Rhinolophus ferrumequinum: one gene and its partners. The protein of the gene in region 2 interacts with the protein of the main gene of each other region in a pairwise test. Links are inferred from orthologs where the notes say so. Each region holds a gene or a part of one and is shown on either strand. Other genes may lie near its edges. The genes, in order: PLEKHN1, CBY2, TXLNA and CNNM3.

The links.
Region 1: the proteins of CBY2 (region 2) and PLEKHN1 interact in binary tests that used the Homo sapiens proteins (3 or more experiments, as listed by UniProt). The two-hybrid records come from large-scale screens. The link is inferred for Rhinolophus ferrumequinum from reciprocal best matches to the Homo sapiens genes CBY2 and PLEKHN1.
Region 3: the proteins of CBY2 (region 2) and TXLNA interact in binary tests that used the Homo sapiens proteins (3 or more experiments, as listed by UniProt). The two-hybrid records come from large-scale screens. The link is inferred for Rhinolophus ferrumequinum from reciprocal best matches to the Homo sapiens genes CBY2 and TXLNA.
Region 4: the proteins of CBY2 (region 2) and CNNM3 interact in binary tests that used the Homo sapiens proteins (3 or more experiments, as listed by UniProt). The two-hybrid records come from large-scale screens. The link is inferred for Rhinolophus ferrumequinum from reciprocal best matches to the Homo sapiens genes CBY2 and CNNM3.

Annotation. Positions count from the first base shown.
Region 1 is NC_046292.1:191,521-198,571, reverse strand, and holds the start of PLEKHN1 (pleckstrin homology domain-containing family N member 1), read right to left. Parts: upstream 3,020-7,051; 5' UTR 2,963-3,019; coding exon 2,880-2,962; intron 2,780-2,879; coding exon 2,680-2,779; intron 1-2,679. Other genes in the region: KLHL17 (kelch-like protein 17), read right to left, coding at 4,573-4,801, 5,058-5,239, 5,426-5,499, 5,595-5,683, 6,067-6,234, 6,317-6,461, 6,736-6,949. UniProt on the Homo sapiens protein: Controls the stability of the leptin mRNA harboring an AU-rich element (ARE) in its 3' UTR, in cooperation with the RNA stabilizer ELAVL1.
Region 2 is NC_046287.1:5,395,279-5,402,611, reverse strand, and holds the start of CBY2 (protein chibby homolog 2), read left to right. Parts: upstream 1-4,326; coding exon 4,327-4,401; intron 4,402-4,706; coding exon 4,707-4,787; intron 4,788-7,333.
Region 3 is NC_046292.1:22,082,347-22,089,885, reverse strand, and holds the start of TXLNA (alpha-taxilin), read right to left. Parts: upstream 3,017-7,539; 5' UTR 2,999-3,016; intron 2,772-2,998; exon of another isoform or gene 2,476-2,771; 5' UTR 2,444-2,475; coding exon 2,266-2,443; intron 1,669-2,265; coding exon 1,306-1,668; intron 1-1,305. UniProt on the Homo sapiens protein: May be involved in intracellular vesicle traffic and potentially in calcium-dependent exocytosis in neuroendocrine cells.
Region 4 is NW_022680356.1:2,261,709-2,268,978, reverse strand, and holds the start of CNNM3 (metal transporter CNNM3), read right to left. Parts: upstream 3,010-7,270; 5' UTR 2,995-3,009; coding exon 1,671-2,994; intron 1-1,670. UniProt on the Homo sapiens protein: Probable metal transporter.

The DNA of each region.
Region 1 (7,051 bases), on a different chromosome or scaffold from region 2:
ACCCAGTCCATAGGTCAGGGACACACACACTGTCACACGTAAGGACAGAAGCCTGCACACACAGCCTCCTCACATGGAAATAGCGGCAGAACACACGGGCGTGCACGTGACCTCACTGAGAGTCACAGAATTGCATGGTCTGTCAGAGAAGACGATGATGTTTGCACTTAACGGAGATTCGACCCTTATCTTCACTGTTTCCTAAGCTGTGTGCCCTTGTTTTGGTTACTCAACCTCCCAAGATTTGTTGGTCACAGGGGTTTTGGATGTCTGAGTAAGACGAGGCTCAAAACCCTCCTGTACGTCCACTATCAGCTAGTAAATGTTTAATATTTGATTCTAAAAAATGGGGAGATTAATTTATAGCATTTGCCAATTTGGATGGTGTACATCCTCCTGCCATGGCCCATTTCAAGGAACCAACGTGACGTGAGCAAGTGTGGAGCTGGGGAGAGAGGCATCGGATCAGCTCTTGGGAGCTTGGGCTGGCCACTTCAGCACACATTGCCTGCCCTACTCTCAAGTAGGGAAGGCCAATGTCCTGGCAGTGGCCCAACGGGTCCTCTGTGATCTGCCCCCTCCCCTGGTCCTCTCCCCTCTCAGCAGACACACGCCTGTCTCAGGGCCTTTGCACTTGCTCTTCCCTCTGCCTGTACCACTCAGCCTTGCTCTTTGCACCTCCTTCAGGGCTTGGCTCAAACATCGCCTCCTCCATGAGGTCCCGTCTGGGTACCCTTCTCACGTGCCAATCTCCCCTGACCCCTCTGCACACCTTCCCTACTTTTCTTCTTAGTGCTAGCCACATCTTACTTATTATATCTTTTAATTATTTGTCTTGTCATCTGGCTCTGTCACAGGGATGGGGACACCGTAAGAACAGGGTCTTTGTCCATTTCCCCCACTGCTGTGTCCCAGGGCCAGGACAGGCCTGGGATGTGATGGGGGTTCACTGCCTGTCTGCTGCAGGGAGGGAGCATCGGTGCCCGCAAACACTCAGCCAGTCCTGGCACACAGAGAGTCCTCTACAAATGGGAGCTTGATCATCAGGTTGGGGGTCACACTGGGATGGGCGTTACCTGGTGCTGGAGGGGCTGAGGTCTGTCCAGGGGCTCAGGGGTGAGTTGAGGAAGGGGCCATGTCTCCTTTGGGAGCTGGCAGGGGCTGCCTGATGGGCTGCTGTGCCAGGCCAAGCTGAGCCGCCCTTTAAATAAGCCCAGGAATGTGCACAGACACACAGTTTCCCGGCCCCCCGCCTCTGGGTGGAGCTTCCTGCACCCACGCCCAGTGCAGAGAATGATGCTGGGATGGGACCCATGAAAAATAGGCCACGAAGCAGGAAGGGCCATGCAGCTGGTCCTGTGGCCCAGGCTCAGCCTTAGGGCCCAGGGAGGAGTCGGCTCAGAGCTGTGGCAGGGCCGGCTCTGTGTGGGTGCAGAACCCAAGGAGAACTGGCTTCTCCAGGGCCCCACCTCCTGAGGTTCAACATTCCTGGTCCCCTCTCCAGCCACCATGTCCTGGCAAGAGAGGACCACACAACTCACAGGATTCCACCAGGGTCATGGGATACGTCCTGGGCCTGAACAGAGGGAGCTGAGGTCTGAGATGTGGCCACTTGGAGGGACCCCCATCCCTGCCCAGCCAGGCCCTGGACACAAGTGGCTTGTCCATTCCTCTGAGGCAGCATGGTTTCCGAAGCCAGCACTTGCCACAGGGAGCGCTGGGACTTCAGAGGGCAGGGAGAGGCTGGGCCCAGGACTTCCTAGCCTGACGGGACCAGTTGGAAAGGTGGGCTCCCCACACCAGCTGCCAGGCCTGTAAGGGACGGTGTGAGGACTGCAGGTGGAGCCCTGGCCCACGTTCCTGGCATAGTCACACATGTCCGTCGTTCCCTGTCCTCTCCCAGATGCTCCTGAAGTAAGAACCTGGGGGGTCATTTTCGTCACATCCAGGGGCCTCAGTGTGTACCAGCGCCTCTCTTCGACCCAATGTCAGCCCTGGGGACAAGGGCTGGGGAAAAGGGCTATGTCTCTCCCCCTCACTAACTCAACCCCACAGGAGCTGGGTAGAGGGAGGGGATGTTTTCAGCTCAGAGGTGCCCCAATATGTGCTTGGCAGGCAGTCCTTGCTATGGGGCCTTGGCCAGGGGGATACAGGGTGTTGCTATGGGAGGAGGCAGTGGTGTGTGCCGGGACACACCCCCTGGGAGAAACTGAGGCCTGGAGTAGGTGACACGCTGGCTCACGGCTCACCTGAAGCCCCTTAGTCAGAGTAAAGAGGGGGTGGAGGGGTTTCATAGCCGTAGCACCAGCATGACATCCCTGCACACACGGCAACAGCTCAGATACCTGCGCTTGGTCCAACCGAATGTGCCTGGACATGCTGTCCAGTCCAGGGGCAGGCTTGGGTCCTGGCCACAGTGCCCCTGGGGCAGCAGAGACTCCGGAGTCCCCGCCCGCGCCCGCCCCTCCTGGTGCTAGCTCACCCACTGACTCAGTCGGGTCTCAGTTTCGCTCTCCGCCAGACTTTCGGCCAGATGAGCTCCCGAGGGTGGGGCTCCGTCTACTTCCTCACCTTGTTTTAGATTTGATTCCCAGGCTGACCTGGGAGACCCTGAGACCACCGCCGCCGCGCCCCTGCGCGGCCCGCACTCACCCTGGGACACGCCCACCCGCCACTCACCGACCCCGGGATGTAGTGGAAGATCTTGGCGGCGGTGGTGTCCCCGTCAGGACTGGCCTCCGTGCCGAACAGGCCAGCCAGCTTCCTTGTGCCATCCTCTCTGGGGAGGAGGGAAGGGGGGCTCACAGCCTGGTTCCCGACGCCGGTTGAGGGCAACCCTGTGACCCAGCGTCGAGTCCGCCCCCGCGCCGCCCCCTCACCTATTTCCCCTCAGCGAGAGCTTTCTGGAGAAGGACGCCCGGAGCCTCTTAGGGGCCTGAGGGACGCAGTGGTTGTTCCCCATGGGCCGCGATCCGTGCCGACCCTAGCTGAGCAGGTCGGCAAGTCTGGGTCCCTCTGTCCCGAGCCTCCTGTCGCCACCTCCCGGGGGCGGGGCTTTGCAACGTCTTACCCGGTGCCCAAGGGCCGGGGGAAGGTGGAGCCTTTCTGGGAGGGACCGGCCCTACCTGAGCCCACGCCTTTCAGTTGCCTGCCCTGGGTCCTCCCCACAAGCAGGCCAGCTGGGGCGGGGTTGGGGGCTTCCCCACTGGCGGAGCCAAGAGCGCCCACCTCAGCCACCAGTACGTTCGGGAGGGGCCCCAAAAGCCTGGTCTGTGAGTGCGTGACCTGCCCACCTGCGCGTAAGCTGGGGTGCCTGGGGTAGAGCTCTGTGAGCCCAGGGACCCCCTCCCACAACCCCCCCACAAAAGCACACATCCTGTTTCCGCCTAAATGCCAGTCTCTGATTCACCAGTGACTGTAAGGGGGCATGTGTTTGCTGTCAGAGCTGCAGCAGGAGTTTGCAACACTGGGGAAGGGGAAGCCAGGACCCTTCCCCAGCCTCCTCTCCTACCTTGGCCCAACCCTCACCCCGGGCCAAGGTCAGGGTCCTCGAGGCTTAACCAGAATCCAGGAAGGAGACCACAGCCATCCCAGGTGCATCTAGGACAGTCACGGCGAAGTAGGGGGAATGCCACCCGTGTCCCTCTCGTAAGAGCCTGGGGTGAGACAGGCCATGGGGGCCCCTCAGGACCACGCTGGCAGCAGCCATGCTCATGATCAGGCACTCCTCCAGGACATGACAGCCTGTCCCGACTGGATGAGACGGTGCTGTCTCAAAGCCCCCAGATGCCAATGCAGTGCCTGAGCCCAGCTGTACACTTGCCCCCAGACCCTCCCAGTCACCCCAGATAGGACCCCAGAAGGTGGAGATGGACCTCAGACACAAGCCCAGAGTCCAAGAGATGTGTTTATTGTTCAAGTTGGTTCATATTGCTGTGAGGAGTCTGTGGCACGCATGTGTCCCAGCTCAGTGCAGGACCCAGAAAAGACACCACACTCACAGGCAGGAAGCCCCCTTCGTGCCCTCTTTGGGAGTGTGCCTGGCCTGGTGAGGCAAGGGTGGTGTGCAAAGCGAAAGCTGGGGGTCTGCACCTGCTCAGAAGCCCCCCCACCCCAACAGGCCGCTCTGCATCTGCCCTTTGGTCCCTCCAGGTCTGCAGAGTCCAAGTTGGCCCTGCCCCACAGGCAATGAGAGTGTCCACCCCATCACTCACCAGTGCCCCGAGTGTGGCGGGAGAACACTAGGAGGGCAGCTTGGTCCCAGCCACACAGGACACTTCCAGAGTAAACGTACGAACTGGTAGCTGCAGCGCTGCTCATCGATCAATAAATACTGAATAAATAAACGAGTAAATAAACGGTACACACATAAATGAGCACTGAGGAATGAACAGAAATGGGCGGCCTCAACACACAGAGACGTGGACAGACGGTGCAGGACATCCCTGGCGGGGGGCCGAGGAACCCACCCCTGACACACTGGTCGAGGGGAGGGAGGCGCTGGGGCCCTCTGCGGGGCTTAAGGCATGTGGGAGGCCGCAAGGTCCGGCCTCTGTGCAGTCCGCGCCGGGGTCAGAGGCTGGTGGAAGACACGGACAGTGTGGGCGAGGAGGGTGGCGGGAAGTTCAGCAGCTCGAGCACCGCCACCCCCACACTGCTGCGCCGTGTGAACATGCAGGATGCAGCCACCCACTTGTTGGTCCTCGGGTTGTACTTTTCGATGGAATTGAGGCTGGAGCTGCCGTCGTTGCCTCCCACAGCATACAGCCAGCCGTCCATAGCCACCAGGTCATGGGTGCTCCTGGGGGCGGGGCAGGCGGGCATAAGCCCATGGGGTGGAGCCCCGGGGGTGGTACCCGGGGGCCATAGGAGCCGCCCCGGGGGTGGGGCCGCCTGGAACCTCTAGGGAGGCGCACAGGCCAGAAGGAGAGCATGGGTGGGGGACACACTATGCAGGGGTGAGGCCATGGGACACATTTGTCAGTCTCTGAGGGGGGCAAACCCACTGTGGTAGTGACGGGGGACACTCCCAGTCTGTGTGCTGGGGGACAGCGCACCTTCGGATGTTCATGGGAGCCACACTCTCCCAGGCACCAGCCTTGGGGCTGTATCTTTCCACAGAGTTGAGGCAGCTGGTGCCATCATTGCCACCGGCCACGTAGAGAGCCCCCTCCAGCACCGCCACACCAGCTGAGCTGCGCCGGCTGAGCATGGAGGCCACTGGCGTCCACGTGTTCACCTGTGGTTGAGGGGACCTGCTGGGGGCAGACCCATCACCAGCCCCCCTCCACTTCCTGTGCAGACCCCTGCTCCAGGGCGGTGTCTGTGGGACAGGGGTGGGACCTAAAGGGGAGGTGGGTGGCCAGAGTGATGACCTCAGGCAGCCCTTGGGGAGGGGGATTCATGGGATTGGGGCATTTCGCACCTGGGGCTCATACTTCTCCACTGTGGCCAGGTGAGATGAGCTGTCGTAACCGCCCACGGCATACAGGTTCCCATCTGCAGGGTTCAACATGCCCATGTTGTACCTGCTGTGTGGGGTCTCTGGGGGGGCAGGTAGGGGTGGGTACTACACCAAGTAAGTTATCACCCACCAAGCATGGCCACACGAACATATCGCCTCCGGGTGCTCATGGCGGCGATAGACGTCCATGTTCCCGTCAGGGGGTCATAGCGCTCGGCACTGCGGACACCAGGACCACCGCTGACCTCGAGCAGTGGCAGATGAGGACTTGCCTTCCCCTGGGGAGTGACTCAAATCCCGTGCTGGGATGTCACTGAGACTGACCCCAGAGTCCCACTGGAGCAGGAGGCAGGCCTGAGGGGTGCACACGGGCCCCCAGCTGCGTGGGTGATCCTGGGTAAGTGTCCACCTGGGTGCAGCCTCTGGACTTGTGGGAAAGACCCCAGAGAGGAAAGGAAGGGGCAGGTGGGCTGGCACAAATGAGGAGGCCTATGGGACCCTGGTAACTCAGGCGGGATCTCTCTTTGCTCCCCTCGAGGTATGACCTCTGTCGTCCTGATGCAGCCACAGCTGCTACCAAGCCCACCGCGAAAGGCCACTACCTGTTGAGGCAGGAGGCCCCATCGTAGCCACCGGCTGCGTACAGGAGCCCGTGCAGGGCAGCCACACCCAGACAGCTGCGCCTCGTGCCCATGGACACCTCGGGCTGCCAGACGTTGGTCACAGGGTCGTAGGACTCTACAGTGGCCAGATCTGACGTCCCATCGTAACTAGGGGAGGGGTCCAATGTTAGTCATGGCTGGCCCGGTGGGCATACACCGAGCCCCACGAGAGAGCAGCCTCCACGCTTACCCGCCCACAGCATACAGCCGGTTCCCAACCGCTGCCACGCCCACCCGGGCTCTGCGTGTGGACATGGAGGCCACCACATGCCAGCGGTCAGTACGTGTGTCGTAGGCTTCACAGTCCCCATGGATGGCGAACAGGCTCCCACCACCTAGGGTGGAGGATGTGATGGGGCATGAGGAGGGGCCCAGGAAGGCCACAGGCTGCGGGCTCCGGCACAGTTCAAGGTCAAGGGTTTGGGGCTCTGGGGGTAGGGATGGGTATTTGTGAGTGGGTCACACCACACAGGGTCTTCCCAGTGGGATGGAGGAGCAGGTGTGGGGAGGGTGCAGGATGTGATCAGCGTGGGGTGGGGCTGGCTGGCGCTGGGCTCATGGGCAGAAGTCGCAGGGCAGAGGCGTGGGGGGCCGGTGGGATGGGCGCACCAACGGCGAAGAGCACAGGGCCTGCTCCCTCGCAGTGCCGGGGCCTCGTGCGGCTACTGCCCAAGACACCTCTCTGCTCCGGTAGCAGGTGGAACTTGAGCGCTTCGATGAGCAGGTCCTTGCAGTCAGGGTGGTGCCTCACCAGGCTCTCGGCGTCCACGTGGCCCAGCAGGAAGTCCCGGCTCAGCAGGGGCAGACGGACACACTTCATCAGCTGGGGTGCAGGGGCGCCAGTCAGGCAACAGGTCGGACCTGTGGGTACACCTGGCCCGAGCACTGAGACCCCCTCAGACAACGGTCCACCTGTATGCTGGGC
Region 2 (7,333 bases):
TCATGTAAATTTCACATGCATAACGTTATAATTCGATATCTGTGTACTCTATTGTGTGCTCATCACCTGAAGTCTAGTTTTTATCTGTCTCCAAATATTTGATCCCCTTGACCCAATTCACCCTCCCCCATCCCCCTTAGCCTCTGGTAACCACCATTCTGTTGTCTGTATCTACTTGTTTGTTTTCATTTGGTTTGTTACTTTTGTGTTTTTATATTCCACACATCAGTGAAATCATAGTCTTTATAGAGCCTTACTCTTGGATCGAGTAAACAAATGAACTGATTTTAGGAAAATGTCAGAACTATGGTGGTGGGATTTCTAGTGGCTCCTGATTGAGGAGGGAAATTTGTAAGGATGTTTCTAGAGGCCCCCAAGTTTCGATGTTGCTTTTGGGGACCTATCTTGCACCTGGTCTCCTTTCTGACTTCACCAAGAAGCGTTTACCACCCTGGTTATCTCAGGAATCTGAAAGTGCCAACTGCCCTACTTTCTGCACCATCCCCCTCTGTTGGTTCCTTCAACATCCCCACAAATATGGGTGATTCTTCTAGCGTAACAACCATTCACTTCAACAGTGCCCCTGGTAGCTGCTCTTCTATTTACTTTCTTCCTGCTCAGACTTTTCCAGCAGTTGATCTTATTTTTTGCTGGATGGACTCAGCGGCAGCCTCTCTTGCTCTTTCTGGCTGCTGCCTTATGCTTCCTCAGGAGGTGACCCCTGGCCTGTCCCGAAGGCAGCTTGGCTCACAGCCTGGCTGTCCTTGGGTTGGTACTCTGGTTCCAGCATAAAGCTACCCTCTGCCCTAAGCAGCAAAAATAACAAATGTTCCCAAACACATCATATAATTTGCAGATGACAAACATTGTGATAATTTACTACATCCACACAACTTCCCATCCTTTCACCAGTGAGAAGGAGAGAAAGGTCAGAACATACCCCACCATGCCCACGTCTGACTCCTGGACCAAGAGCTGCAGTTCCTGTGACTCCCTGGGGCAGGGCAGGAGGCCCCGTGCTCTCTGATGGGCCCTCCCGCTTGTTGAATGTTTCCCTGTGATTCATCACCAGACAGTTGCAGGTGAGGAAAGCCTGGGGAGTCTGAGATGCATGCTTGCCCTTTCCTTCATCTCTGCTCTACCTGTCTGTTTAGATGAGAAACCCACCAGGCGTGTCCACCTCCGAGCTCTGTGTAGTGCCCTCCAATTGTGGATGCTCACGAAACATGGATGATTGATGATGGCGTTACTCTGAATAATAGCAGACATTTGGGGTGCACTCTCAAGGAAGCTTTTCAGTACCGAGTAATGGATGCGTGTATCCTGTAGAGGAGGAAGGGACCCAGCTAGTGGGAAGATGCCAGTTCCAGGATGGCCCAGCTCAAAGCGCTCCTCCCTTAAAAACAAAAAGCGGATGAATCACACAGCAGGCACACAGACGAGCCCTCCCACCAGCTGTGACATCAAGCCTTTTTAATAGGGCACCAGTGTGTGTGAGTCCGCTGCTTGAGACTGCAAGGCAAAGGGAGCAAGGCAATTTTGTACGAGGGCGCCAACGCAATGATTATTTACTGAGAGCTTGCTAAGTCGTCTCGAATTAGATTTAATTTCTTCATTTTGGAGACGAGGAAACAGCTTCTGAGAGGTGGGGTGACTTGCCCAAGTCACATCGCGTTAAGGACTGAATGCATATGTTGGAGCCCTCGTCCCCAATGTGATGGCATTTGGAGGTTTGGCCTTTGGGAGACAATCATGTTTAGATGAAGGCTTCTGGATGGGATTAGTGTCCTTAGAAAAGACGAACAGAGACCCGAACTCACACTCTCTCTCCACCATGTGAGGACACAGTGAGAAGGTGGCCATCTGCAAGCCAGGAAGTGGGTCTCATCAGGAAACAAGTCTTCTGGCCCTTTGACCTTGGATGTCCAGCCTCCAGAATGGTAAGAAATAAATGTCTTGTGGAAGCCCTCCAGTCTCTGGTAGTTTGTCATAGCATTCGTTTTGTGGTCCTTTGTTTGGGCAGCTCTAGTTCAGCTACCTCCTTCGCGGTTGAGTCTTCCTAGCTCAGCCTCACAGGTGGATGTGCAGGTGTTTCCATGAGATCTGTGTATAAGGGAAAATTGAATTGTGTTTTCAGACAGTACGAGAGTTAACCGCTTAAAGAAACCCGTGGAGAAACAGGAAATGCCAAGTGTTGACAGGATGAGGAAAACTTGGAACCCTTGTGTGTTGCTGGTGGGAACGTTAAACGATGGTGCACTGGCTGTGGAAAACGGTATGGAGGTCCTCAAAAAGTTAAAAATAAAACTACATATGATCCAGCAATCCCTCTTCTGGGTATTTATCCCAAAGAATTCAAAGCAGGTTCTCGAAGAGATATTTACATACCCGTGTTCATGGCAGGATCATTCACAGTAGCCAACAGGTGGAAACACCCCCAAATGTTCATTAGTGGATGAACGGATAAATAAAACGTGGTATATAAATACAAGGGAATACTGTACAGCTTTAAAAAAGGATGCTGTGTCACATGCTCCAATATGGAGTATCTTGTGGCTATGATGCGAAGCCATTAAGCCCGTCACAAAAGGACAAATACTGTATGATTCTACTCAGGAGTCTCTAAAGTAGTCAGAATCATAGAAATCGGAAATAGAAAGGTGGTTGCCAAGGGCTGGGGGAGGTGGGGAGGGGACTTAAGTGTTTAATGGACATAGAAGTTCGGTTTTGCCGGATGAAAAGGTTCTGGAAACCTGTTGCACAGCTTTGTGAAAGTCCTTAAAACTACTGAACTGTATACTTAAAAATGATTAAGATGGTCATTTTTCATGTTATGTGTTTCAACCACAATTAAAAAATAAAATTAAAAAAGGAAACCCTTGGAGAAGTTCCCATTTACAATGAAGAATTCTTTGATAATGTGATTGATCACTTTCTTGGTCTTTTCCACATGTATAGCTTTGAATTACTGTGTATTGGATTTTCTTAAAGCGACACTCGCTTGTATGTGGGCTGTGGGAGAGCCGTTGGGCGCTTAGGTGTCCCTGGGTCTCAGACGCTGGCCTACCACCCTCCCCGGTGTGTGGCATAATAACGTGGCACGGGAGCTCTCTGTCTAAAGAGGCTGAAGACACATGAGAGGGCTCCCACTAACAGCCTCTAGAGGCAAGTGACTGGACAGAATTGAGGCAGGGGGCTGCGCTGCCCCCTTCGCAAAGCCCGGATGTTAGCACTGTGGTCTTGATGCAGTTTCTACATGAGGTAAAATAAGAATATATATTTGGCCTTTGTTTGTAGTTCCTGACACGGAGCTCCTAAAACCTTTACCACTTCCTGAGTGATAGATGTATCTTTTATTATTCACACGGAGCCCCTCTGGAGCACACCTGAGTTTATGCCAACGAGGTGATTCTTGGTGGGGCCCCCTTGGCAGCTTTAGGATGTGGGCTGGTTGCCAGAGGAATCAACTACGTGCTTAGAGGGTTGGAACTTTCAGTCTGCACCCCTGCACGTCTGCGCTGGAAATGTTCAATCACCAAAGACCACTGATTTAATCAAGCACAACCATGTAATGAAAACTACATTAAAAAGCCCTGAACAATGGTTTGGAGAGCTTCTGGGTTGGTGGGAGGATGGCGTGCCAAGAAGATATGGAAGCTCTGTGTTCTCCCACCCCATCCAATATCTTGCCCTAAGCATCTCTTCCACTTGGCTGTTCCTTTATAATAAAACTGCAGGTGTAAGTAAAGTGTTTTTTGAGTTCTGTGAGCTATTCTATCAAGTTATCAAACCCGAGGAGGGCGTTATGAGAACCCCTGATACAGCCAGGTAGAAGTACCAGTGGCCCAGGACTTGTGACAGGCATCTGAAGCGGGGCCGGTCTTGTGGGACTGAGCCGTTCACATATGGGACCCAACACCAACTCCAGGGCGATTGTGTTAAGGTTGAGCTGAATTGCAAGATGTCCAACTGGTGTCAAAGAATTGGAGAATTGGTTGTGTCAAAAAACGTCTCACACTGAATTTCTTCTCTTGGTCTGGAGTGAGTTCAGTTTGCATTTTTTCCTTCTTAAGTGATCCAACTCCAAGGAGAAGATGCCATCTCTGGAGAGAAGATAGGGATCTCAGCCCAGCCTGGCAGAGGAGATGTGAATAGCAGTCAAGATGACCAAACAGGAAGCTAGTGTTAGGGCTACTGTGTGTCACACTGACCTGGACCAGCCATGTCACACCAAGGTAAGCTCTTCCTGACCATCAGAGGCCTCATTCCCGCCTGAGATGCTCAGAGAGAGACCATGAGCCCTGAACACTGCCATATTGTTTTGTGATGTCACCTCTGGAATGTTCTGAGTGTTTTGGTGACCAACTTCTGCACAGGACCTATACCTGGCACCTAACGTTGGTATGACTTTTTGCTTGAGACAGAAATAAGAATCTTAGAAAAGGTAATAATAGGTGTAAGTATGTCTGCTCCAAAGGCTTTCGGAAGGCTCTGAAACCGGTTATAATACCTGTCTTAACTTATGTTCAGACATCGCTACAGCCTCTTGTCAGACACGATCTTCCCGTTCTTTGAGACTCCGATTTTCATGATGTACATAATTGACGAGGGGATAAGTGAGTCGGAAGTCCTCTGTTTTTCAGATGAGCAGTTGTGGCCCGGAGGAAGGGCTGGGGAGCAGATGTCTTATTTTCTTTTTTCCACAGCTCTCAAGGCCACATTGTAGAAGAAAAAGAGATACCAGATCTGAAAGCCTAGAAATTCCAATCAATGTGGTTCTACCTCAGGTAGGGATAATCACAGAAGAATGTAATCTACTCGTTTTAGCCACAATAACCCTCTTCTTTCAAAACTCGAGCAAAAGATGTTGTTGAACGAGCAGAGTCCTCAGGACCTCAATTCTAGTTGTGGGGCAGCTGCCAACCAGCTCTGTGCCTGGCAGAGGACACTTAGCCACTCTGGGCCTTGGGTCCCTCATCCCTCGAATGAGGAGAGTGAGTTAGGTGGTCTGGTAAGACCATCCAGCCCTAACACATGAAGTTTCTATGACACTCTGAAATACGCCAATCATCTCGAAATTAGATCTTCTGGTAGTTGTGCAATCACGCTGGATTTCTAGAGGAGAATTACAACTGGCCTTGGAATCAAATGCATATGACTGAATCCATGAGGAGAAAACCTAATACAGACCAAGGAGTACAGACAGGGCCATTTGGAGGTGTCAGAGAATTAAGGCCAGCTGTATACCAAATATACAGAGCGTAAGGGGGTGGGCACGAGGGATTCAGAACGGAGGCCAATGAATGGATGCAGTGTTGACAGGTGGAGATTCTCAGGTCTCCCCCACTGAGCCCTGGTGGGGTTCTCCTGATTGCATTGTTTCTACCGCTGCTATGTCACAAAGGGGGCAGCCTTGCTTCTCCAGAGTCACCTAAGGCCCAGTTGGAAGACCATGGCACTGCAACCAAAAAGGGTGAAATGTAGAGTGGAGGAGTCCAGTGCAGAGGTAACTATGTGAAAGCTCTGTCCGGGGACGTGTAGGGACAGGATTGATCACCTAAAGCTCTCTCTTTCTTAAGGATTTTCAGAAGGACACGATTAGAAAGAAAACCTCCAGCATTCTTTCTATAGGTGGAGGTAATTGTAACAATCTAGGCAACTGTGTTCAGCAGGAGGAAAAAATATAGGACACAGAGCATTCTGGCTATTTGTTTTCGCATATCCTTATGACGCTGTAATGAACAGACACTTCTCTGTTTCAGCTCCTAAAGCTTAGAACATACGCTCACTTTCTCCTGACCATCAGGATGGCTTGCCCGCAGGGTTTCTGCCGCTGTAGGAGCCCTGGCTGAGGTCCGATTCTTTCCACATAAAACACGTCTGTAATTCCATTGTCCACTACTCTCCCTATGGTTGGGTCGTTCTCAGCCCAGAGAAGTCAATCTTTGCTTTGCTAAGGGACTGGGAGAGGGTGTCAACCCGAGGATGGGTTGGGGTGGGGATGGGAAGAGGGTATGAAGCAATGGTCACGTGATGGAGGGATCTGGAAGTCTTCCATCTACACCTAGTGCAGCTCCCTGCCTCCTCCCAGAAACAGCCCCTGCAGGAGAGCAAGGAGCAGAACTGGGGAGTGGTTTAAGGAGCTTCGAGCGTGTTCTGGGGCCTGTACTGCAGGTCCTGGTGCAGCTGCTGGGGTCTAGGAGGGCACGGGATGAGAGGATACCTGCTGCCTAGGCACGTGTGCCCCACGTGGGCAGATGTGGCCTCACGGGTGCATCTGCCACCGGGACACAAGTCATGCAGCAGGTTTCAGACACCAGCCAGGATGCTTTGGGCAGGGGCGCTGGGGGAGTGGTGTGGGTGTCTATAAGTTTAGATTATGAGAACAGCGTCACGACCAGGGCTTGGGGGAAAGGACTGATGTGGTTGATGAGGGAAGCAGGACTATTGGTTGAACACTGCTTTCATCATGTGTCGGGCCATGCAAGTGCGAGGTGGACACTGTAAGTACGGGAACTGGGAACCCGGGAACCCCACTGGTAATGGCAGAGCTGGAGTTGGGGGCTTGAACCCAGGCCAACACCCACTCTCTCTGTTATATCGGAAGATGGGCATATGCCACGTGGCCGGGCCAGGTCAGGTCTTAGTCCTCTGCTTCTCTTGCTTTTAGGAGATAGCCCTTCCTCTCCCTGCATCTTAACTGCGTGCCCGGAGCTCCCTGCATGTGTCTGCCACATACTGCTTTACTCTGGGACGAGTCCCTCTGTTTCAGAAGGGAATTGCCTCAGCAGCTCTGTGACTTCAGAAAGTGCCGCTGGCCTCCTAGCTCCCAATCCGGCCAGGCATTGGGGCTTCTCAATTACATTGCGAATGCCTGTGACTCACTGTTCCTTATCTCCCTTAGGTCTTTCCAGGTCTTATTGATTTCCAGTTTTTCTTCCTCACATTAAATATTTGTGTTTTCTGATCTATTTCCCTCCAGCGCATTCACTTGCAAGCCATCGATGTTATTTCCTGTCCCAGCTAGCTGCCCTCTTGGTTCCTTTTGTACACAATGATTGAGTTCTCACAGGCATTTGCATTTCCCTCCCTGGTGAGCACTGTGTGTGCATTGCAGGTGTTGTTTAAGGCTAGATCACTAATGAAGGGTCACACCAGATCAGAATGAGCTCTGGAGGCCCCCTCCAGGCTCCCTCATGCCCCCAGTTGCCTTTCCTCAATCCCCTTTGTTTGGGCTTGTTCTTCAGAAGCTATGGAACCGGCTGACAACACCCATATCTCTGCAAATTTGAATGACCTGTTAGGAGGAAGATTTCATGAAATTCTGTGTTAA
Region 3 (7,539 bases), on a different chromosome or scaffold from region 2:
CACTCTTCTGCCTTGAGGCAGCCCTCCCCTATCACACTTTATATTTCTGTCTGTTGAACTGGCTGCCTTCCCTGCTAATCTGTGTGCTTCATGAGGGCTGGGACCAACTCAGTTCTGCCTATTATTGTGGCCCAGTACTTGCTCTGGTGCCCAGCACGGAGGACACGCTCAACAAATACTTATTAAATAAATGGTTGAATCTCTGTGGAATCTCCTTGGTGAGCACCAGGAGTGGGAGAAACAAAAAACGCAAAACTGCCTGCTCTTCCAACAGGTGAGAAAAAGGTGGCCACCTGTGAATTCAGTGTTACTGTTTCAATGCAAAGAGGGCCCTTCTGATAGAGGAAGGATGCAAAAAGGAAAAGGTTTCCTTGAGGACTACTAAACTCTCACCAACAGAGGTAGCAAAACAGTGAACTTTAAAATGAATGTACCTCCCGATATTTGATCCTAAGATTAAAAACAAACAAAATAACCTTGTTTAAGTTAGGATGACAGTTAGGGGATACGGGAGTAGGGGCTAAGGGTATAATACCACCGGACTTTGATTTTTTAACACACACTAGCCGCCCCCATTCCCACCTTCAGCCAAGACTCTCCTGCACTGCCTGTGCCTGAGTCAGAATCTTCCTTGCCTCCCTAGAGAGCCACCGTACATAGCACAGCACCAGGCTTCTGAAGTGGCAGCCCTAGGAGGCTCCAAGAGACCAATGTGGAGACTGCAAATCACTAGCACACAGGCCAAATCCAACCCACAGATGGGTTTTGTTTGATTCCTAGCATATTAGTTGCGTGTAATTCTAGATTTCTAGCTTAAAAAAAAGGGGGCTGGGACTCTGGCTAGAATTAGGCTGTAGTTTTACATGCTATCAACTTGCTGGGACCAGGTGACAGTCAACCCTTTGGATGAAGGAGGCACTCTCTTCGTCCTCACGAGGCCCCTGACTAACTTGGCTTGTTTGTGTTTTCAACCCTGGTCTAGCCCAATTCTCTACTGTGACAACAAAGGACTGGAGAGGAGAAAGGCCTTGCCCAACACAACAGGTTAGAAACCGTGCAGGCTGGCTGGCTGGCACAGGAGTCCACCCAGCAGATTGAATTTCGGTTCCCACTTGCTCCCAAGGCCAGAAGCCCTTGTGCAGTGAACCACCTGCACACCTCTATGCTATGGCCCTACAGCCCTGGCACTGATTAAGCCCTGGGAAGTAGTTTCCTCTGCATCCTAGCAGAGTAGGCTAGCCCAGGGAATCTCGGGTCCAAACTCCCTCCCCTCAACAGCATCACGAGTAGCTTCCCTCTGCTCACCCAGACCCTTGGCTTTCTTCTTTTCTTGTGGCCTTCGGTGGTCTCGGTCTCCAACCTCATCACTTGCCCGGATCTCGTCTGTGCCTGGCTCTCCCTTGCAGGTCTCCTTCTCACCATTGACTACTGGGGTCTCTGGCTCAGGCTCCCCATTCCTCGAGGCATAGGTGCGGGACTTGTCTGCATCTTCGGGTTCAGCAGGCTCACCCTGTGCCCCATTCTCACCTGGGCCCCCCTGATTGTTGTCCACACAGTATGTACTCAGGATGTCCTCCAACTGGCGGCTCAGCTCCTCAGAGACATCACGGAGGGCCCCAGACGGAGAGGTTTTGGCTTGTACTCCTAAAGCAGCAGAGGATGAAGGGGCTGAGTGAGAAATAAGATGGTTACACCACTGGTTGCGTTTTTCAGGCCCAAACTTACTGGTTTGGGTGAAATGTTGCCTAACTTCTTTAAGCCGCAGTTTATTTACCTATAAAATGATATGACTACTTCTCACTACCACCCAACCATGTCTGTTACGAGTATAAAAGAAACCAAGTAAAACATTCAGCACATGCAGATGGCATGTAGCAGGAGCTCAATGTCTAGGTCATCTTCTCTTCCCCGAAAAAGTCACTTCTTGCTACTAAAAACCTTCCAGAAATGCCTCAAGTATAGAAAGCAGTTACCCACTGGTGAATGAGGTGTTTCTAATCTGGATGTGCTGGCTGGGTGTTTCATCTGCTTGCCACCCGATTTAATCCTGTCAGAGCCGCCTCGAAAGAGTTCTGTGTCTGCGCTTAAGAGTGGAAGGCTCTCCCAACTCCCCAGGACACTGGGGATCCCAGAGACTCAGCACTGTGGTCCCCTCATTCCACTTCCTTCTTTCTGAGTCAACAGTGGCCTCTAACTCCAGCAGCTACACTGGCCGCACCACAAACTCCTCTCCCTCCCCGCTGGAAACCGAGAGCTGGCACACACCCTCCGTCTTCCCTGGAGTCTGGCTGGTGGCACCTTCAGTTTCTGTTGCACAGGCTGCCTGGCTGGGCAGCCCCGGGGCTCCCTCTGGTCCGGCTTCCGCTTGCCCTGGGTTGCTTTTTGGGTTGGAAGTGCTGCCTGCTGGCTTGGCAGCCCCGTTCTTTTTGTCTTGATTCTTCATTGTGGCTCGCAATGCTAGGTGAGGAGCAGATCCTATAAAACAAGACACTTGCTATTTTCCAGACTTCAAAATTCTTCTCAGCCTGGATCAGAAATCCCAACACCGGGTGCACAAAGCTTCCTATAAACAAACTGGCTGGCGTTCACCAGAGGGAGTCAACGGTTCTCCCTGTCTCTGGCCAGTCAGGGGAGCCTGGGGTGCCCTGGCAGGTTTTTGAGGAGCTGCTCCAGGGGAGGCCTCCTTTTTCTTGAAGCCTCTTCCCGGCACAACGCGTCCACCTCACCACAGGCGGAGCGCGGGATAGGCTCCCCGCCGCAGACTGACGTGGCGGGACGCTCGATTCCGGTTCCCTCCTCTGCGCCCTAGGCCCCACGTGGGCACCCCCCTCCTCCCGGCTCCGCGCGCGCACAGCCACCCACACCCCGCGCGCTCTCCGGCCGCGCGCGAACCGCCCGCCGGCGCATGCGCACAGGCCTTAGCTGTTCCCCGGCCCTCGCCCTCGCGCGGAGTCTGTGTGATTCCCCTCACTGGCCGAAAGCGCCCAGGTCTACAGACCCGCTGATCGCCTGGTCCCGCTAGGCGCCGCGGTACCCACCCCAACGCCGTCCGCACAGCTTCGCCCGCTCTGGCCTCACACCGGAAACCCTGGGTAACCGCTGCCGGCAGAGCTGCCTGCTCGCCGCAGCCAATCAATAGCCGGCACTCTCGCGAGGCTTGCTGGGAAAGATATAGCGAAGGGGCCCCTGAGGCGGGTGAGTTGGGAAAGCGGGGGAGGGAAAGGACTACAAGTCCCTTTATGCAGCAGGGCTGACTCCAACTCCCAAGATGCAATATAAAGGGCTTTAGTCCTAGGAGCCGGATACTCAGGTTCGAAAGGAGCCAGTCATTCTGTATACGTACCCACGTCAATCTCCTTTCTGTCGCGCAGAAGCTATGATTCAGCTCCGAAAGGTTTACTCCTGGCTGTTGTTTCTTGCACGCCTCCAACCCTTCCCGCCAGAATTCTGGGCTGGGAACCTGGAGACCTGTATTGCAGTCCTAACTTCATCACTGATTTGCGGGACATTCTTTTCTCTCCCAGAACCTCGATTTCCACGTTCAAATAGAAGCTTTTAATAACAACAGCAGTTCTTTGAACGCTTAAGGTGTGCTTTCCCGGTATCTACATTTTTTTTAAACTTTTAAAATTTATTTTAAGTGTGTTTTTCCAGGACCCATCAGCTCCAAGTCAAGTAGTTCTTTCAGTCTAGTTGTGGAGGGCGCAGGTTAGTGGCCCATGTGGGGATCGAACCTGAAACCTTGTCATTAAGAGCATTGCGCTCTAACAAACTGAGCTAACTGGCCACTGCTGTATCTACTATCTTGATCCTAAGTACTCATCAAGGTAAGTACTATGTCTTATTTCCATTTTACAGCTGCTAACAGTGGTTAGAGCAGGAAGTCTGGCACCAGCACCCATCTTAACTACTGGACCTACCCGGCCTCTTACCCAGAAGAAATAACCATCATGACACACTTTCTCTGAGGATAAGTCAAGGCAACTTGTTAAAGTGGGTTGTATTTTTTTCCCCTCTTCATTACCAGCATGAGCCCCTCTTGGGCAGGGGCTGAGGGGGCCCTGCAAGGGCAAGTTTAGCCTTAGCAGATTCCTGAGCCCTTTTTATCACTGGCCTACTCTCTACAGAGTCTCTGTTGCACTGGAGCTAAAGGGGAAACAAGCCAAATTTTTCAAATGCGAGATCCCAATTCTTTATCGAATTGCCTATAGATAATGGAATAAAAACCAACAACCCATGTGCTTGGGATTTAATGCCTACATAGTTTGGCTTGTTTCCAGACAATCCTGCCCATTCCCTCTGCCTGTTTTTTGCTCTAGAAATACTTTCACTATTGCCTGCATTTCCCAGGATTTTGCAGGTGCTATTCCAGCTTCCAAAATGCCCTTATGGCAAAAACAAAATCTTTTGAGGCCCAGCTCAAAGGTCTCTTTAGAGCCTGCCCTATGCTCTGCAGCCTGTCCTAGCTCCTTATTACTGGTTAGAGTTCTATTACAGCATTAGTAAAGTGTTGAAATTATTTGCTTACAAATCAATGAACCTCTGACTGTTGGCTAAATTCTCTCATCCTAAAGCCTAGGGTTTTGGGGGTGAGGGAAGAGAATGTTTTAATTGTGCAAACTCAGCATTGTTTTAGGGCTCTTAAGATGTTAAGTATTTTTCCCAATTAGAGATACCAGAGTAGTGCTCTTCCCCCTTTCCTTAGGCAGCACAAATTCACCTTTTACCAGGTAACATTGAGAGGCAATTTGGTATAATGGTGAAACTCAAGGCCAGAAAAGTTTGGAATCCAAGTCTCACGAAACCAAGGCCTGATTTATTTCCAGAAAAGCATGTTGGAAATCTGTTGAGGTAACATACAAATCAAGCCTTGATGGATTTCCATAGGAAGGTGTTCTAGGCAGAGATAAAGAACGTAATAAGCAAGAACAAGGTACGCTTGGAGGGGTAGTGTAACAAGAAGGATCAACAGTGGCCCTACAGGGGCCAGCTGGGTAAAGAGTGGAGCAGGCAGGCAAGCAGTAACAATTTGATAAACATGGGTTAAAAAGTCAATTTCTACTTTTGCTATAAAATAGCAACAGTATTAGCACCTGCCAGTCAACTAGTCAGGGACACCATTGGGAATGGTGGTGATGATGGTAAAACAGACCTCTTACAGATTGTTTTCAAGCAGAAACTCAAGCCCAGTAGTGCCAGATATTTTTCAGGATATATCTTTATTTCTTAAAATGTTGGCAGTGAATTAATACTTAAAACACACTGTCTGCCAACCAAAATCCTCCTTTTATGTTGAGTCAGCTTTTTGGCTGCTTGTCTGTAATCTCTGCTTTAGGAATTGACCTAAACCAAAGTGAGTAGTCTGTGAGCTGTATGACCTTCAAGGGCTCAAAGGGCTGTGGAGTGGTGATGAAATGATGTCAAATCCTTTAGAAAAAACTCTAGAAAATACAAACTAAACAGAACTCAGATCAGTAGTTGCTGGGGGTTGGGTGAGGAGGAGAAATTCCTAAGGGGCATGCAGAAACTTCTAGATGGATATGTTCACTATCTTAATTGTGATGATTTCATGGGTATATGTCAAAACTTACCAAACTGCACATTTTAAATATGTGCCATTTACTGTATGTCATTGTATTTCAATAAAGGTGATTTTTAAAGATGTCTTTATAGCAGGAGCAGGCTGTTGCAATTCCTCATTCCACTGTTAGGCCCCAAGTTTAAACACTTTCTTTGTTCACTTCCGAAAAGTCCAGTCTAGGATCATTCCAGAGACGACGCTTTAGAACTTTGCAACAGGTTTTTATTTTTGCTTTATATCTATTACAGTGTTTGAAACCTAAAGAAATAACATTTTCTCTTCAAATTTGGATGTGTATATAAATATCATTTGTCTGGACTCAGCACACTCAATGCCTCGGTTTCTTGGCCTATGTCTGCTCTGAAATCAAGCTTTGTCTGTCTACCCAGGGGCCCTGAGAACTTGGAAAATAGTCAGAGTTTATAGTTCTTGGAAAACTAAGAGCAAATGAACTGCAAAGAAAAACCAGTGAGGAAAATTGGTTTGATTCACCTTCCTAAGATCGGTAGCTGGAAACCCAAGCTATTTTTGAGGGACATCTGGTTTGTATTGGGTGGCTGGGACCTCCTATCCCCTTTGCTTTAGTGGTTCAGTCAAAGGCAATTCCCCCAAAAGTGGGCTAAAAGAGCCCATACCCAACTACAAGGCTTGAGGGTTCTCAGAGAGGTGGACTCTTTAAGGCCATTCTGAGTCAGAGGTTCCCAGCCAGTCTCCGGATATGACCTTTGACTTCCTTCACTGCCCCCAGGGCATGGCAGGATTTGCTTTTCCCAAACCCAGGGGCTGAAAATCTGACCTACACGTGGGAGCAGGGCTAGCATTTAGCTGAGGGGTTCAGGTATGTGCTAATATGGACATCAGTCAGGCTGGCCCAGAAGTAGCGAGGTAGGCCCAAACTCACTGAAGACCTTTATAACACACTACACAAACCTTTGTCTTGGGGTGTTCTGGGCCCCAAATTTAATGCTGCCTCTTCTCTCATACCTAGTTTTGGTTCTGTAAATAGCCCAGGCATGATGCAAAATGCCCTCTGAGGAAAAGTAACAGCTTTAATTCACAGACTTGGTTGGTACTGACCTCAAATTCTTCCCGTGCTATGGTCTTAATCTGGAGGTGGGGTTGGGGGGTAGACAACCGGATGACTGAATCATTTATAAAGGCCTTGGCCAAAGAGCAGCTAGTTCTCAGCTTGTTGGCTTAACAAAAGAATCCAAAAGTTAAGACACAGAAAAAATACTGAACAAGATTGGTCTAGAATCCTAAAACGGCTGTGGAAGAAACCTAACTCTGAGCGATTTCTCAGTCTCACACTCACTTCTAGGATAGTCCTACCTGGAAGATGTTGCCATTGCTTATGAGCATTTCCTATGGTTCAGTGCACTGAGCCTTGCACCCTTTCCCAGACTGCCAGGGAGGCAGACAGTAACACACATTCCTGAGGCCCCCAGCCAGCCTGCTTTCCCTCCGGGTCCCTGTAGTGCCTATAGGGACCTGGAGAATCCAGAATCTGAGCCTACAAGATGAATCTACAGAGGAACACCCAAGATGATGGATACCAAGTTGAGTCTTGAGGAGAAGAGATGTGGCCTGAACATACGAGCTGAGGCATTCAAAGGGGGTTATATGGAATGAGGGAAGTATTGCTAGGCATTTATGCCCTTCCCTTACTAGTTTGCTAGAAACAGGAGTAACTCTAGGATACAGGGGGGGAAGCAGGTAGACACAAGAAAATGGAAATCCATTTCATTCTGTAGACGGTTTTCATTTTAAGCTGGTTTGGCTTGAAAGAAATAAAGTCTGTGCCTGAGCGCCTTCTTTTGCTCTCCCTGACTAAGTATAATAGGAGCTACAATCTGTGCAGTTCAGCTCCAAAAATTGGGCTCCTGGAAAGTGGCTTCCAGCGCAAAGAGAGTAGAAGGAGTAGATCTAAAGGTCCTAGCTAAGGGGGACCATCAAGG
Region 4 (7,270 bases), on a different chromosome or scaffold from region 2:
GTGCACCCTGCCAGCCTCTCTCCTCTGCACCCCTGAATCACTGGTCTCCACACCAGTCAGTGATCATGAAACACCCTCAGGCGCCACTGTGCTCTGCTCACAGGTGTCATCCTGGTGTCAAGTCCTGCCTTCCCAGGGTCTCGAGCGGGGAGGCAGCGGGATGAAAGAACCCTTCCTCGCTGACTCCAGGCCCAGCACTGCTGGCCCCCAGGACACCACTGCCCAGAACACTACAGTGGCCCACAGGGAGTATTTACCACTAAGAGGCTCTGTCAGGCCCCCACCCAGTGCTCCCCGCCCCAAAGAGGGGCTGCATGGCCACTTTCTGGGGAGGCAGCGGGGTGCAGCCAACAGATTCTCTAGCAGAGCGGTCAGAGCTGCCCCCAAAGCAGCCTCCCAGGTAATCAGAGGCATAGGAGTTCAAGTACTGTAGCCAGGTGACAATCTTCCTTAGGCAAGCCTCTAGGAGAGAGGAGATGATGCACGTGAGCGCCCACTAGTGTCTGCTTTACACAGCGCTAATGCAGGACTCACAAGGTCACAAGGCCCAGACTCCCCAACTGTCAGGGACTCACAGAACACCTCCCAGGGGGGGCCTGGAGCCAGGACACCTCCTAGGTGCCAGGAAGCTCAAGGGCTTTGCTGGCTTCCTGGTCTCACATTATGCATCCTCCAGCCTCAAGGCCACCCAGAATCCTGGGGTGTCCCCTGTGCTCATCCTGCAGGAGTTCGGATTTGAGAAGCACAGATGGCTGGCGGTCAAGGAGCTCTGGGAGCACAGCCACACCGGGCCATGAGAAGACTGCACAGGAAACCACACCTTCACATTTGGAGGGTGCAACCCTAGAGTTGCTGGGATAAACCAAGGTCAAAGGTGAGAATGCAAATGTGGAGTTAAGGGAGAATGTGAGAGACCTTACTCAGGGTTAGAAAAGGGGGAAGTTAAAAAAAAAAAAAAAAAAGACAGCTGAAGGGAAGACTGAATTAGCGCCCATGAAGTTGCTTTTGGTTAAATTCAAATCCAAGTGGCAGTTTGTTCCACACCCCCAGAAAGGTATTTTTGAATCACTCTTTTCTGCAGTCAGGAAGCAGCAGCCCATCAGCAACCTTAACAATGACGACCTGAAAACATCACAGGCACCCCTCATTTTACTGTACTTCACAGGTGTTGCGTTTTCTAGAAATTAAAGGCAAGACCCTCCACCAGCAAACAGATTAGGACTCGCTTTTTTGTTGCGCTCTGGAACCGAACCCTCACCACTTCTGAGGTGCACTTGTATGTGTGGGCACGTAAGTTTCCAGGGACCTGGGGACTACACTCTTTTCTACCTTCTTTTAGTTTCTATCCAAGAGCTTCGACCTGCTACAAAACCCACAAAAATGACCCGGAGCGGGAAAGAGCTGGGGGTTAGAGCCTAGTGGACATACCTCCCCAGATTGGGGGCCTACCAGGTAAAGGGGGATTTTGCTGTCTTTAGCACTGTGTCCCTCTCTCAAGGACAACTTTTCAATATTTCAAAAGGTCATTCAGAGCTGCAAGGCCGTCATCGTCTTTAAAACGGGACTTGCAGGTCTCACTGCTCTCCAGAGGCTTCCATAATCCCCGACCCCTTTTATAGGGGGTGCGGGGCACAAGCTTTCGAGTCCCCTCCGCGATTCCCAGACGTTACCTCGCTTGAACTCCTCCAGGACGGCGTCCAGCTTGGTGTCGTTGAAGACGAAGTGCACCGGGTGGTTGTAGAAGCGGGTGATGGTGCTGAGCGGCGTGCAGTCGTCGGGGTCCACAAAGGCCAAGTCCTTCAGGTAGAGCATGTCCACGATGTTGGAGCGCTCCTCTTCGTAAACGGGTATGCGCGTGTGGCCGCTCTGCATGATGCTGGCCAGGACGCCGAAGTCCAGCACGGCGCGGGCGTCCAGCATGAAGCAATCCTCAAGCGGCGTGAGCACGTCTTCCACCGTCCGGCACCGTAGCACGCCCTTGCTGAGGTCGCTGTAGGGGTCGCCACCACCTCGCGCCAGCTCCAGCACGCGCTCGCGCAGCCGCCCGGGCCGCGCCGCCAGTTCCAGCAGCTGCCCGACCGGCAAGGCCACCGGCAGGGTGAGTAGCACCGCCAGGCGGCTGAGCGCCAGCGCGCGCGGAGCCAGAGCCAGCGTCCAGCGCCCGCTTACGGCGGCCGGCAGCACTTCGGCCACCAGGAACGCGAGCCCCGCGCTGCCCAGCACCGCGGGCACGGCGCGCTGGCCGGCCGCGCGGTAGAGCAGCACCGCCAGCGCCGCCTGAGCCACGCTGGCCAACAGCAGCAGCGCGCCCAGGGCGCAGCCCGCCCAGCGCCGCGCCGGCTCCAGGCGCCGCGCCGCCGCGCGCTCCGCCTCCGAGCCGCTTTCGCGCAGCACCTGTACCTCGGCCGGCGCCAGCGCCAGCGCGCTCAGCTGCAGGCCCCGTGCCAGCGCCGCCAGCGCCAGCAGCCCCGCCGCCCCCAGGCCCAGAACCCAGGGCGGCGCCGCCTCCTCCGCCGTCTCGCTGCTCAGCTCCGCGCGCACGGCCTCGGCGCGCAGGCGCAGCAGCGCGCGCCATTCGCCTGCGGGGGCCGCCGCCTTCCCGGTAGCCGTGCCGCCAGGCTCCCCGCGCACCGCCAGCAGCGCCGACTGTGGGCGCTCAGCCTCGGCGCGCAGGCGCAACAGCGCGCGCCACTCGCCCGTCGGGGCCGTAGCCTCACCGGGCACCACAGCCGGCCCGCCCTCGGGGCAACCCGCCCCCTCGGGGGCCGCCCAGGACCAGGAGCTGTTGGCGAAGCCCGAGCCGAAGAGGCGCAGGCGGAAGGTGGCCTCCGGCGCGGCCGGCACCTCCCCTCCGCGCGCCCACGCCGCGCCCGCGGCCCCGGCCTGCTCCAGGCAGACGCCCAGCACTCGCGGGCCCGGCGCCGCCTCCCCGGCGGCGTGGCCCAGGCAGAGCGCAGCCAGCAGCCAGCCCAGCCGCCCCGCCGCCGCCGCCATCGCCCGCTGCCCCCTCTCGGCCTCTGCGCAGCCTACCTCCCCCCTCCTCCGGCCAATCGGCGCCAGACTCGCGCCTCCTCCGACCAATCAGCGCCGGCCTCGTGCCCCGTTCGCCAATGGGCGGTGCGTGGGGGCGGGCCCAGGGGGCGGGCGAGGCTGCGCCTGGGCGTAAACAAGCGGCGCGGGTCGGGACCGGCCGGGGGCGGGGCTGACAGCCCACGGGGTGGACTAGGGGCTCCGGGTGAGGTGTGGCCACCCACTACACAGGCCGGACTCCAGCTCTGGGAGATCCCTGGCTGGAACGCGGGGCGGGCAGCAGTAGGCGGAGGTCTCGGTGAGGGAGACGTGCGGCTTTCTGAGGTAGGGCCCCGGAACCGCCGACCTGAAGGCGGGGAAGGCCGAAGGAAGAACCGGGACTGGGCCCCGGGAAGCTAAGCTTCCGTAAGATGCATGTTGATGGAGCCCGACCCTGCTGTAGGTCCGGGGACGGAGACGCAGCCCTTGGGCGAAAATAAGGAAACCTTGGACCCTCGCCTCTACTTCATGTTATTATTTTCCAGGAGAAAAACGAAGCGTGTGACTCGACGAGGATGTTGAGGTCCGACGCGACCTAACACCCCCGTCCCATCCTCGCCACTCGTTTCAGGAATGCCTGGATCTGTCACTGCAGTTCTACTTCTTCCTTGGTCCCAGGCTCCCTGGGGAAATGACCTATAACTCACTTTGTTGGGAAAACCTTTGTACGGACACTTGCAGCAGTTGGATCACACTCAGAAAACCATCAATACCCGAAGACCTAAAGAACCCAGCGCAGGGCAGCTTCTCAGGAGTGCCCTCCTGTTAACAGTAAGAGGCCTCACAGGACTCCTCCGACTGCTTCCTCCCGCCTGTGCCATTCTTGCCCGCCCCCTGGTTAGTCACAGCATCAGTGGACATACTTGCCACTTGATCTTCAAGTCCCTCGTTGACTCTCCCTAGACCATTTGCCTTACTGGTTATTTGGTTCAAGGTATTTCCATGTTTTATTTAAATATTTGAGTTTTAAATGCATAGCTATTGTGGCTTCATTGGCTGATTGCTGCTTCTCTCTCAAGTCTGCAAACGTCACTTCCTGGAGCTGGTCTTCCTCGACTCTTGACTCAGTGGGTCAAGTTTGTGGGAGCTGTGTGCTCTTACCTAGTAGCATGTAGTGCTTATTTTATAGACCCATTCATTCATTCATTCATTCAACAGGTATTTCCTGCATTGAGTGCCTGCAGTGTATCAGGTCCTGTTCTAGTGCTGGGATTTATGTGGAAATAAGAAAGTCCCTGCCCTCCTAGAACTTAGGTTCTAGTATGGGGACAACAGGAAATGTACAAATCGTGTTTTAATATCTGGCAGTTAGGATTGGGGCCGAGCTGTTTTATGGAGGGTGACAAGGAAGGCTTCTCTAAGGAGGTTACATGTGCATAGAGGCCTAGAAGGAGCAGGAGGTGAGCCTCACAAAGACCTGGGGAAAGAGTGTTCCTGGTAGAGGTAACAGCAAATCCAGGGGTCCCTGTGTGACTTATCTTCCTAGGAGGTCTGCCTCATTAGACTGAGGGGTTGCTGGCACCTGGTGTGGAACAGGTGGATGGATGAAATTTACTCTTCCCACCTATACACAAGTTTTTGCATGTAATTCCTTTTATCTGGAATGTCCTTTCTGCCGACCCAAGTAAGTGCCTCTCTTTAAACATTCTTCCCGATTTGCCTGCTGTGAAGACAGCTGGCTTGAGTCGCTGAGTCCTTGACACACTCAGTCACATGCGTACCTATGAGCACTGCAGTAGTGGACGCAGTGAGGTCACTCAGCCTTGGGCAGGCTCTTCCGGGATGAGCTCTCCCACTTCAAGACCACGGCCAGCCCATGGGTGGACGAAAAGGCAACTGCATGTTACCAAACAATGTGATCCTGTTTTTTGGATCAGGCTCCTTTCTCCTTCAGCCCCCAGGGGAGAGAGAAGGGCCGATTTGCTCATTCCAACTGCCCATCCAGGACCCACAGGCAGGAGACCCTGAGGTGTCCCTCTCATGACGGGATTCCCAATTGTGGCCGCTGAGCACCTTTATCATGCATGTCCAACAGCTCCTGTGGCAACAGCCTTGGTTATGTATGTGCTGTAAATTACATTTCTGCCTCTTTGTTTACTGCTAAACAGCTCCTATGGAATACTTGCCACTTGTCCTGACACAGGTGACAGCCACTTCTAGCTCTATGAGAGGTACCAAATGTTGATGGAACTCAAATAGGTAAACCATAGACTCACCAAGATTTCATGTTTCATTTTTTTATTACCAATCAAAAAATAAATTCCATATATTGTTTAGCAAATATTATCATTTTGTGACAAAAGACACAAGAGTCGAACAACAAAACTCCCCGAGAGTCAAACTCATAACAATGCCAAAATAAATCACAAAAATATACAAATTAAAATCTTACGCAAAATAAATAAGAGTCATTTGCTATGGTGGCTGTGACTTGCCTACCCCTTAGGAGGCCATCTGCACGGTTCTCCCTCACACGGGCAGACGTGCAGGGACGGGCCCATTCCAAGGTAGGGCTCAGCCCAGGAACCAGAGGTTGGAATAGGAAGTGAAAAATTGCACTGGGAGGAAGAAGTCATGGACCAATAATATCTGGAAGTCATTACAACCCTCTGCAAGAAGAGATTATAAATGGGGAAGGGAAGGGCAGGGCAAGGGCGGAGGGCGCGCTGTTGATAGGAATTGTGTGTGCAGAGAGGTAGCTGTGGAAGTGTGTGTGCCCGCTCCTTGCACTTCACACACTCGGTTCAGGCCAATGCACTTGGCCCCGCCTGGCACTCAGGTCTCAGGAACACCACTTTGCAAGCTCCCGTGTGCACTCGGGAAGCAAGCTGCTCCTGTAGAAAACTAAGGGGTCCCCCCAACAGGAAACAGGTCTGGTGTCTGAGAACCCATGGGTGTCATCACCTTCTCTCCAGACCTTTAGGAATAAATTCTGTGACTGGCCAGGGGCAGGCATACTTGGTGAAAGACATTTCCTGGTCCCAAGACTTAGGGTTCTCCAGGCACCTGAAGCGCAGAGCACTTGGCTGAGGAAGGAGTGAACAGACAATACTCAGGCCCGAGGCCTGCAGAGCCCCCCTCACCTGATCTTGGGCCCCAGCAACTGTGCCACCCAACAGAAGGGCCAACACGGTCCTTGGTCCCACAGCCTCCCAGGGATGGGGAGCCTAGAGCTAGCTGTGTGGCAGGGCCTGACTCGGCCCCAGGGAAAGGCGCTGGGGCCAGAGTTCCTGTGGGCGTGGAGCTCTGGGGGTCCAGTACCACCAGCTTCGGCACAGGCCAGGATGAAGCCTCATTGTAGGGTTACGACATGGGGGACACAGGGCTGCCAGTAGTATGCCTTCGAGGTGGGAATCTTTCCTGGGTTCTGGACGTGTGTGAACAGGCAGGTAAGCCTGACCAGGGGACAGGGCATGCAGAACCTGCTGACGCTGGCTTCCTACATGTCCTCAGTCCTCAGCCCCCAAGAGGCCTTGGGGTTTGGGATTAGAAGTAGGGAGTCTGGAAAGCAGGGTTCCTGGGTCACTGTCTGAGACTAGACTTTGGTTGTGGGCTGGGGAGGGTATGGTATCACTTGCTAACAATGCACGACCAGATTCCCTCCTAGAACTGAAAGGAGTATCGCAGCCAAGTCACCTCAAATGGAGATGCTGTCCCCACCCAGGGGAAAACCTTTGGTAAAAGTGAGAGCAGCCTAGGGAGCAGGGGCGAGCAATCTGAAAGGTGGGAGACCCTGCCTAACATTTTGGGTCAGCCCCATTACAAGGGGAGACTTGTCCAAAGGGGCAGATATGAGGCGAACCAATGGGGACAGGGGTGAGAGTCTCACTGGCCCCAACTCACCAGGAGGGCCCATCAGCAGTTCTTGGAAATTCCTTGATCTAGCGAGTGACAGGAGCACGCACACTCTTCTGCCGCTGGGAGCATCTGTCCCTGGTCACAGCTGCCCAGACCCCTCGGTCTCAGTGACGTCAAGACCAGCCTCCATGCACGTGTCCCAGTTGTTCTCAGTACTATTTGGTTCTTTGCTTCCTGGAAAGAACTGTCCTCCCAAGAGAAAGCCTTCCTCCAGCGGGCCTCTGGGACCCCGTCTCTGGAGGATGAGGGAGGACGAGTGGGCTCCCTGAGTCGGGGACATAGCCAAAAGGTCGTGGCTGGGAGCACATTATGGCTATTGCTTCCTGGGGTGAGAAACCCCACC